Macaca fascicularis: one gene and its partner. The protein of the gene in region 2 purifies or fractionates together with the protein of the main gene of each other region. This does not show direct contact. Links are inferred from orthologs where the notes say so. Each region holds a gene or a part of one and is shown on either strand. Other genes may lie near its edges.

Evidence for each region.
Region 1: the proteins of MECP2 (region 2) and TBL1XR1 purify together in Homo sapiens (co-immunoprecipitation; 3 studies listed by BioGRID and IntAct, with this or other methods). This does not show direct contact. The link is inferred for Macaca fascicularis from reciprocal best matches to the Homo sapiens genes MECP2 and TBL1XR1.

The regions. Positions count from the first base shown.
Region 1 is NC_088376.1:88,764,669-88,768,812, forward strand, and holds part of TBL1XR1 (F-box-like/WD repeat-containing protein TBL1XR1), read right to left. Parts: intron 3,318-4,144; coding exon 3,185-3,317; intron 2,841-3,184; coding exon 2,699-2,840; intron 223-2,698; coding exon 159-222; intron 71-158; coding exon 1-70. UniProt on the Homo sapiens protein: F-box-like protein involved in the recruitment of the ubiquitin/19S proteasome complex to nuclear receptor-regulated transcription units. Plays an essential role in transcription activation mediated by nuclear receptors.
Region 2 is NC_088395.1:160,161,696-160,165,839, forward strand, and holds part of MECP2 (methyl-CpG-binding protein 2), read right to left. Parts: intron 3,455-4,144; coding exon 3,344-3,454; intron 1,258-3,343; exon of another isoform or gene 1,160-1,257; coding exon of another isoform or gene 1,134-1,159; intron 1-1,133. UniProt on the Homo sapiens protein: Chromosomal protein that binds to methylated DNA. It can bind specifically to a single methyl-CpG pair. It is not influenced by sequences flanking the methyl-CpGs.

The sequences.
Region 1 (4,144 bases), on a different chromosome or scaffold from region 2:
TTTCCTTTCTTATTCCATTTTAATGCAAATATAGGGCCTTTATGCTGCCCTAAGGTGCTAGCAAGGTTACCTAAAATTCAAAAGAAAAACAGTAACATTACTTTAAATTTTCTAACTTCAGATCAACAACAAAATAAAAAGGAAAATGCTTCATTTACCATCTTTAGTCCATATTCTGGCAAACCCATCATAGGAACCAGTTGCTAGAAGTGTACCTTCACTCTGCCAGAGAAAAACATTTCTTTAATTATATAATCTAGATACGGTTTATAATTTAATTGTTGTTGAAGTATTTCATGTTTAAATCCCAGGTACAGAAGAGAATGAAGACATTCTCTGCTTCAAAACTTGCCAGTTTTGCCTACTTGTGAGTGCCACTAAAGGCCTATGAAACCCTTTCACTGTTGTGAAGCTAGTGTTGTACGGGGGCCTTATATCCAAAGCTCAACAACGGACAGTAATAGCTCTGGACCAGGATCTACATCATCCCGCCTCATGCGTGCCCAAAGTAGTCTCACAGACTCACACAACTAAGAATGAAGGTAGGGTGGTGGATTGGGGCGAACATCAAATTCATAATGTTAGAATGATTTATTAGAAGTAAAAAAAGGAAAACTTTAAAATGTGATTAGAAGGTTTTATATGGCCATTCCTCTAAATCCTTTACTGTCTAAAACAAAGTGTGTGTGTATGATCCAAACAATATCATTGTTTCAAATGATCGGATTCTTAAACATTTGAATGTTCCTTTCTATTATTAATCCCTTCCCACTATGAAATATTTGCCAATAAAAAGAGCAACACAAGCAAAAGAGCCAGAAAAGAGCACAGGCTGACTTCATAGTTAATGAAGTAAGTATAACTGCCTACTTTACCGGAGGAAAAGTCCATATAAATTTCTCTCAACTTATATTCCCTTGCTATGCGCCTTGCCTGGATGAATGGTGTAATAACAGGACAGATCTAACTAACTCTATGCAAACGCAAAAGTTACAGATTATAGTAAACAGACTATTGCTAGAATGACTAAACATTACTGGAGAATGAAATCCTGCATTACTTGACATATTCTTGATGGGTTTTGGTAAGGGCATTCAAAACAAGATCACCTATTTCACATCTCTCAAGCCATTTTAGGAGTATGGCTAAGTGACAAACAAAAACAAATGCTGGTTCTGGGAACTGCAGACTCAGTTCTGCTAAGACATGGCAATCCCTTAGGGCTCTATCTGAAGAAGAAGGGGAGCCATGTTGAAGTCAACAGTAAAAGCTTATTTCCAGATTCTACACAATGTTAAGTTTCCTCTAAACTATCAGTCCCTAAATGTTTTAGTTCATGAACTGCTCAACTAGGAAAAGAATACTTTAAAGATGAGAAATCTCACAGGCTCTCTTGCTTTAGCCATGAAAAAGAATCATTAATCGAGGATGATGTTTTCCAAGCTTACCGTGATTAACACATTTTCAAAAAGCCCACACTTTTCAAAACTATAAAATGCAGTTCAGAACTACCAAGCTGAACAAACCAATATTCATTCATTAACCATCCTTTTCAGTGTAAACTGTAAATTTCATTAAATTAACATGACCAGTGGGCCAGGTAGCATAAGAAAGCTATAAGATGTCTGAACTAAGATACAATAAGGGCCTATATTAAGAAAATAATTCTATCTTGATCCTACAAGTAAATAATACTACAATGTGCAAAACCCCTTTGGAATTTTTAGAATTGTCATACGGAGGGGAAGAGTAAACATGCTGCTGGCAATTTTGGAAGAAAATGCTAAAAATACCCAGTTATGATTTCTGAAAAAACATGTCACAGAAACTGAGAACTTTAGCGGGAATAACGATTTTAAAGATAGATCTCATTCCTTGGGAAAAGAATTAGAAGATCCTTTAGAAAGCCCACAAAAGTTGTTAAATAGAAGAGAAAAGAACATTCATTTGCTGAGGAAGAACTACTATCGTGAGATATTCTTTGCAATGCTGAAATATATCTAAGAGGTTTGGGGGCGTGGCGGGGGCTAGCAGGGTGAGGTAAGAGATATTATTTACAACTAAACGATGACAATTTATCAACAATGAAGTGAAAGTTTTTTGTAAGTCAGAGTAGTCAAGTTGTCCTGAAAGATGTTGAATCATACATAGAATCAGAGAATTAGAAGATTCCTACAGTGGGAATAAAATTTAGACATTATCTAGACTAATGATCCCTAAAAGGAAATTGGTAATAAAGTTGTAACAGTTCACAGAACAAAGAGAAAAACAAGAACATGTTTTCTGCTACATAGAATTCTTTTATCCCCCAACTAAGAACTCGGTTGTTACGGATTTAGTATGTTGTTTGTTATTATGGTAAGAATTTTCACCTATTATCTCAAATATTTAGGTACCATTTTCACAGATCTACTTGACATTTAAGGAAAACGAAGTACAGAGTAAACAGTAACAATTTAACCAAGGAGATGCTGCGGGATACACTAAAGAGCTGGACATTGTACCCTGGTCTAAGGCAAGTTTGTGTCTTTAACACCACAGTGGAGGAGAGGGCTGGCAGGTGACGACTCCCAGTTTGTTGTTACTAGTTAATAAAACCCCAAATTCTGAACAAATAGACAAACCGTGCCATGAGTCTGAGGCTCTGAGGGTTAGGTATACTAGTAATTATATCCATCATGGATATAGTGATACTCACATTCCAATCTAGAGATGTGACATCCTTGTTGCTTGGAACATCTTGCCCTCCTTCTCGTATACAATGTCTAAGTACTAACTGTGTAGAGCCACTGGTGCTGTTCTCACTAAGATTCCATATTCTTGCTGTTGAGTCTCCAGACCTATAAAAGTATGCAATGTATTTTAAATCCTCATGACATTCTCAACTATCAGAATCAAGGCAACATATTTACATCTGAATATTAATAAGGCAAATAAAAACTAAACTATCACAGATTTTCATTTCCAGTATTTTTCCCATTCTACACATTGGGACCCCCAAGCGTTCTCGAAACAGTAAGTTTAATTAAAAATTCTACAATTACTTCATGAAGGAATAAAACATTTACAGAGACAAAATGGCCACAAATAAGCAACAACAGAAAACCTGAATAATGCATATGTTTATAAAATGCTCAGTAAGATATTTGTAAAAGCCATTTTAGTATCACTTTGAGAAACACACCCTGATGCTAGGAGATCACTAACAGGGTTCCAGGCACAGATGAAAACTTCAGATTCATGGCCCCGCAACACAACTGCTTTATTAGGAGGGATTTCAACATCCCCATCCACTTCCATCATATCAGTATGATTATCTGCATCGTGAAAAACAAGTAAGCAATTCCAGTTAGGCAGTATTACAATATGGCGGATGGGTGAATTCTTAACTAGCAAATACCTTCCTTTATCACATACAGGGTTAACATTATCAAGTTAAGCTGAACATGACTACACAGTCTTAGTCACATAGAAAATAAATTGGTACCTTTAATTAAGTATTGACCATACTTTTTTTTTAAGAGGGATGGGGGTGGGGGTGGGATGCAGACTTTAAATGATTAGACCTAAACATGGATAAAACGATAAAATGGTTTGAACTAAACATAATGTCTACCAGTACTATTCTGAGTTTCTGCCAGTAGGGGTTGCTGATATCATTCATATAACATGACTTGCCTTTTATCTCAATGTCAGAGCGCTATGGTATTTGTTGATAACTAGTATTACAATTTCATTTAGAAATCAAATGTAGATACAAAAATTCATTTAATGATGGGAAAAGGGCTTCTAGATATTTTAAAAAGAAAATAAAAGTAAATCTAGCTTTTTGGAGCTTCAGGAATAAAAATCTGATCTGTGTGATACAAGTTAAGAAAACAAGTTGGTGCAAATAACAGATGGAATTATTTCGGCATAGAAGATGGGACATTCTGTTAAAGCAAATATATTTCCTCTGAGAATAAATTTTTAAAAATTCTTATCTCCTGGGACCTTCCTGGGGGATGGAGGGTGGAAGAGGAGGATCAGAAAAAATAACTATTGGGCACTAGGCTTAGTACCTGGGTGATGAAATAGTCTGTACAACAAACCCCTGTGACATGAGTTCCTCTATTTAACAAATCTGCACATGTACCCCGAATTA
Region 2 (4,144 bases):
GGACTTGAGGAGTGTGATGCTCTTCCTTCCTTCCACACCTTCTATTCTCCTTCAGCCAAACCTTGCCCTCACATAATTCCTAAGCAGGCTATTTCTTATGGATGTCTACAACAGCTTCACACTGAGGTGTCAGAAACCACAAGAGAGACACAACAAAGTATGACTTAGGGTCTCAGTTGGAATCACAATGGCTGTATATGTGAAAACCCACATTTTTGCTTAGGGGGAAAAGAAAGGGAAAATTCAATTGGAACATTCGGCTTTACCACACAGAAGTTCTGAAATCCACACGTCAAAACATCAAATGTGGAGTGACCACTAATCAAAAAACAAAAACAAAAACAAACAAACAACAACAACAACAAACAGCTTGAGATGTTGAGCCTGAAGGAACCATTCATTTTTACAAAACTAAAGTCCACACAATGGTGCCAACTAGTTCAAACTGCAGCTGATACAGCACCTGAGTGTCAGACCTAGAATGACTTGGGCCCCCAGCTTTTTACAAATTACTCATCCTCCTCTAGAGTCTCAAGAACAGATGTATATCTGGGTACTCTCTTTAGTTACCATGGGAGGAGTGTGGCAAGCACATGATATTTATTAGTCATGGCCCCCGGTGTTCTGAGACAGCTTTCAGGAGGGTGTCCTTCTAGGGAACCAACCATATACCAGTTCCCATATCTGAAAATGCATTACCACTGCTCACTAACGCTGACCACTAAAGCATTTACTCCAAACCGAAGTAAACACATGCTGAAGACCGCTAAGGCAACAGCAGCAGCGCAGAAGGGCTCAGTGCAAGCGCTCTCAGCTCAGCTGACCTGCTTCAAGGTGAACTGAAGTTGCAGATCACCAGTTCCGGCTCTAATCTGACGCCCGCCCCCAGATCTCGCTGTAGCGACCAGGTAACCCTACCCACACTGACCTTTCAGGGCTCAGGGAAGTGACTTTTTTTTATTATATGGCACAGTTTGGCACAGTTATGTCTTTAGTCTTTGGGGTACTTTTATACTGTCCAAGAGTAGTATATTTTTTTCCTTTTTTCCTTTTTTTTTTTTTTTTTTTAAAAAAAAAAAACAGATGGCCAAACCAGGACATATACTAAAAAAAAAAAAAGGAAGGTTACTTACCTGAGCCCTAACATCCCAGCTACCATGGAATCCTGTTGGAGCTGGTCTACAGAAGCAAGGTGTATTCTGGGGAGTCACATGTCACATCAAAGCAGGAACTGGTGAGTCTGTATTTTTATGGAGCCTAAAACAAAGAAAATTGTAAGTTGAAAGCCCCCATTGAGCTGCACGACCTTTTTCCCAGGGCTATTTGGGACATTTTGAAGATAAACACACAGACAAAGTACTATGCTATTTCCCAGCTTACCTAGCTAGAAACAAAGGATAAACTGCAAATTACTGGCACGTAAGTAACACACAGTGCTAAAATAGAGGAAAGACTCATGCTTGTTAGAATCAACACTATCACAAGTCTTGTCACCTCTAGGGGACACTTCGACAGTACAAAAGCATACCATGAATGGTGATTTCTGGCCAGTATTTCTTCCACCACGTCACACAGAAATTCTCAGGGAAGAATACATATTCAAGAGAATATGCAACATCAAAATACCATCCCTGAAAGAACACATGGAACCTAGAGGCAGTCTCCCTTCTTTTGCAAGCAGCTGAATGAAGTTGCAATGAGCTGCTGTAACAACATCACATAAAGGGGCTTTAATCCTGAGAGAAAAAATCAGCACCATGGGAAACCAAGTGCTCTGGGAGACCCAAAGCCATCATCCAAAACATGCAAGTCTATTTCAGGGCAATCAGTTTTAAGCCTCTCAGATCAGTCAATCTCACTATTTAACAAACTGAGTTATCAGTTTGATAGTTTCTCTTTTGCTTTTGAACACATGTTCAAAAAAGGACTTTTGTCAGTACCATTTCTGTCATTAAGATAACCATCATTTCCTTGTTAAAGCCTAAACTGCCCCATATTAATTACCTAATTTCTGATACTATGCTGGCCCAAAAGTAGCACTTTTATAAGCTAAAAACAAAAGCTCAGAGCATACAACTTAGAGACCATCCACACAATTACTCATGTAATCAAACCCGGAAGAAGGGCAACACCAACCAAGTCTTTTACTGCTCTTTTGCTGCTCTATAGCTAACAGGATGGTATCTAAAATTATCTTTTGAGGTTCAGTGAGGCCTCATAATTCCCTTAAACAGTCAAGTCATAGAATACTTTGAAACCCCAGAAGTCAAGTTAATAGTATTACTCGGTTAGCTATCTAATAAAAACCAAACTGGTATCCTGGCTAGGAGGCCCTGGAAAAGTCACAACTTCTCAGGGACACAGGTTTTTTTTTTGTTTGCAAACTGATGGTGCTGGACTAAGGATCCTTCTAGTTCTTAAAGTTTAAGATAATTAACTTAAGATTTCATGTCAAAAAGAAAAGAGACAGAGGCTGGGTGCGGTGGCTCACGTCTGTAATCCCTGCACTTTGGGAGGCCGAGGCAGGTGGATCACAAGGTCAGGAGTTCAAGACCAGCCTGGCCAAGATGGCGAAACCCTGTCTCGACCAAAAAAAAAAAAAACCAAACCAAACAAAAAAAAAATTAGCCAGACGTGGTGACGGGTGCCCGTAATCCCAGCTACTTGGGAGGCTGAGGCAGAGAACTGCTTGAATCCAGGAGGCAGAGGTTGCAGTGAGCTGAGATTGTGCCACTGCACTCCAGCCTGGGCGACAAAGCAAGACTGTCTCAAAAAAAAAAAAAAAAAAAAAAAAAGAAAGAAAGAAAAGAAAAAAGAAAGAAAGAAGCCAGAAAATGAGAGCAGTTTGTGAAATCTAATAAAGAAAAAAGTTCATATATATATAAAACACCCCTAGCTCTTAGGCAAGGAAGACAAGTGCATCCTTACTAAGGTTTAGTCCTGTCAGCTTCAGAGGCAATAATGAGAGCCCAGACTACAGTGTCTACAGGAACTGCAAAACAGCCACACACCACAGCGGGGACACATTCACACGCCACCAGACCCAGCATATGTGTGCTTGAAGAAGTTATAAAGACTCAGGCTTTTTATTCTCTAACGAAATGGTCATTCTCCCTTTGATGTGGGGGTGGGGATGCCCTGCCCACCCCCCAATTCCGGCTCCCACTCAGTTATCCCACACACCATACATACCATCGAAGTATTTAAGCAATGGCATGTGAACCAAGCTTTTGACAGGAGAAGGTTTCTTGAAATAGAAAGGCAGAAGAAAACAGATAAAAGCAGAAGAGCTCAACTTCTACTTAAGCCCAAAGAAGAGGGACCTGTTCATGTCTTGTCCTACCCGGAATGATGCACATGCACAGGGCTTGCCCGGACAGCAGTAGTTTCACTGGAAAGGGCTGGTATGGAGGCACTGAGGACAAGGTCCTTCCATCGCAGCGGTGATAATGCTCTACCCAAGAAAAAGAGATTGTGTCTGCCAGCCACGCAAGACTGGTCTGCAAGGATGTCACCATAGTAGAGGGCAGGGAAAACAAGCAGGTGTCCTGCCACACTCTTCGGGACTGGCCAGTCTAGGAGTGTGCTTTACCCCATGCACTGAAAACACTGGTTACTAGAAATATCAAACATTTTCTGTGATTCTCTCCTCCTCCAAGATAACTCGGGCAGCTTGAGAACAAACTGCTTTTAGCTAATTAAAAGATTTCTGCAGATATTACCCTTTATAAAATATTTCAGGTTCTAGGACACGTCATTTATCATGCAGAGTCCAAAGCAGTGGAAACCAGGCTCCAATAAGGAACTAACAATTTTATCTCTGTTGTTCTTTATTTTAGGTTAAAGAAACGAACTTCTCATTTCATCTCCACATGGGAGGAATGTTCCAGAGGGGGTAACAGCCTATTAAACTCATCTAGCCAGTTTTTTTGTTTATTTTTTTTTCAAACTCCACAGCTTGCCTCCCTACTCCACTAGATGAGATTGCACAGAGGCAGGGCAGGCACGGGAAATGACTCTGGTTGGAAATTACAAACATATACACACAGAATGTAAGCACCATAACCCTTTGAATACACAGTGGTTTGTGCCTTGCCCCAGACCTACCTAAGTATTAAACAGCACAAAAGTCGGAGTTCTGCTG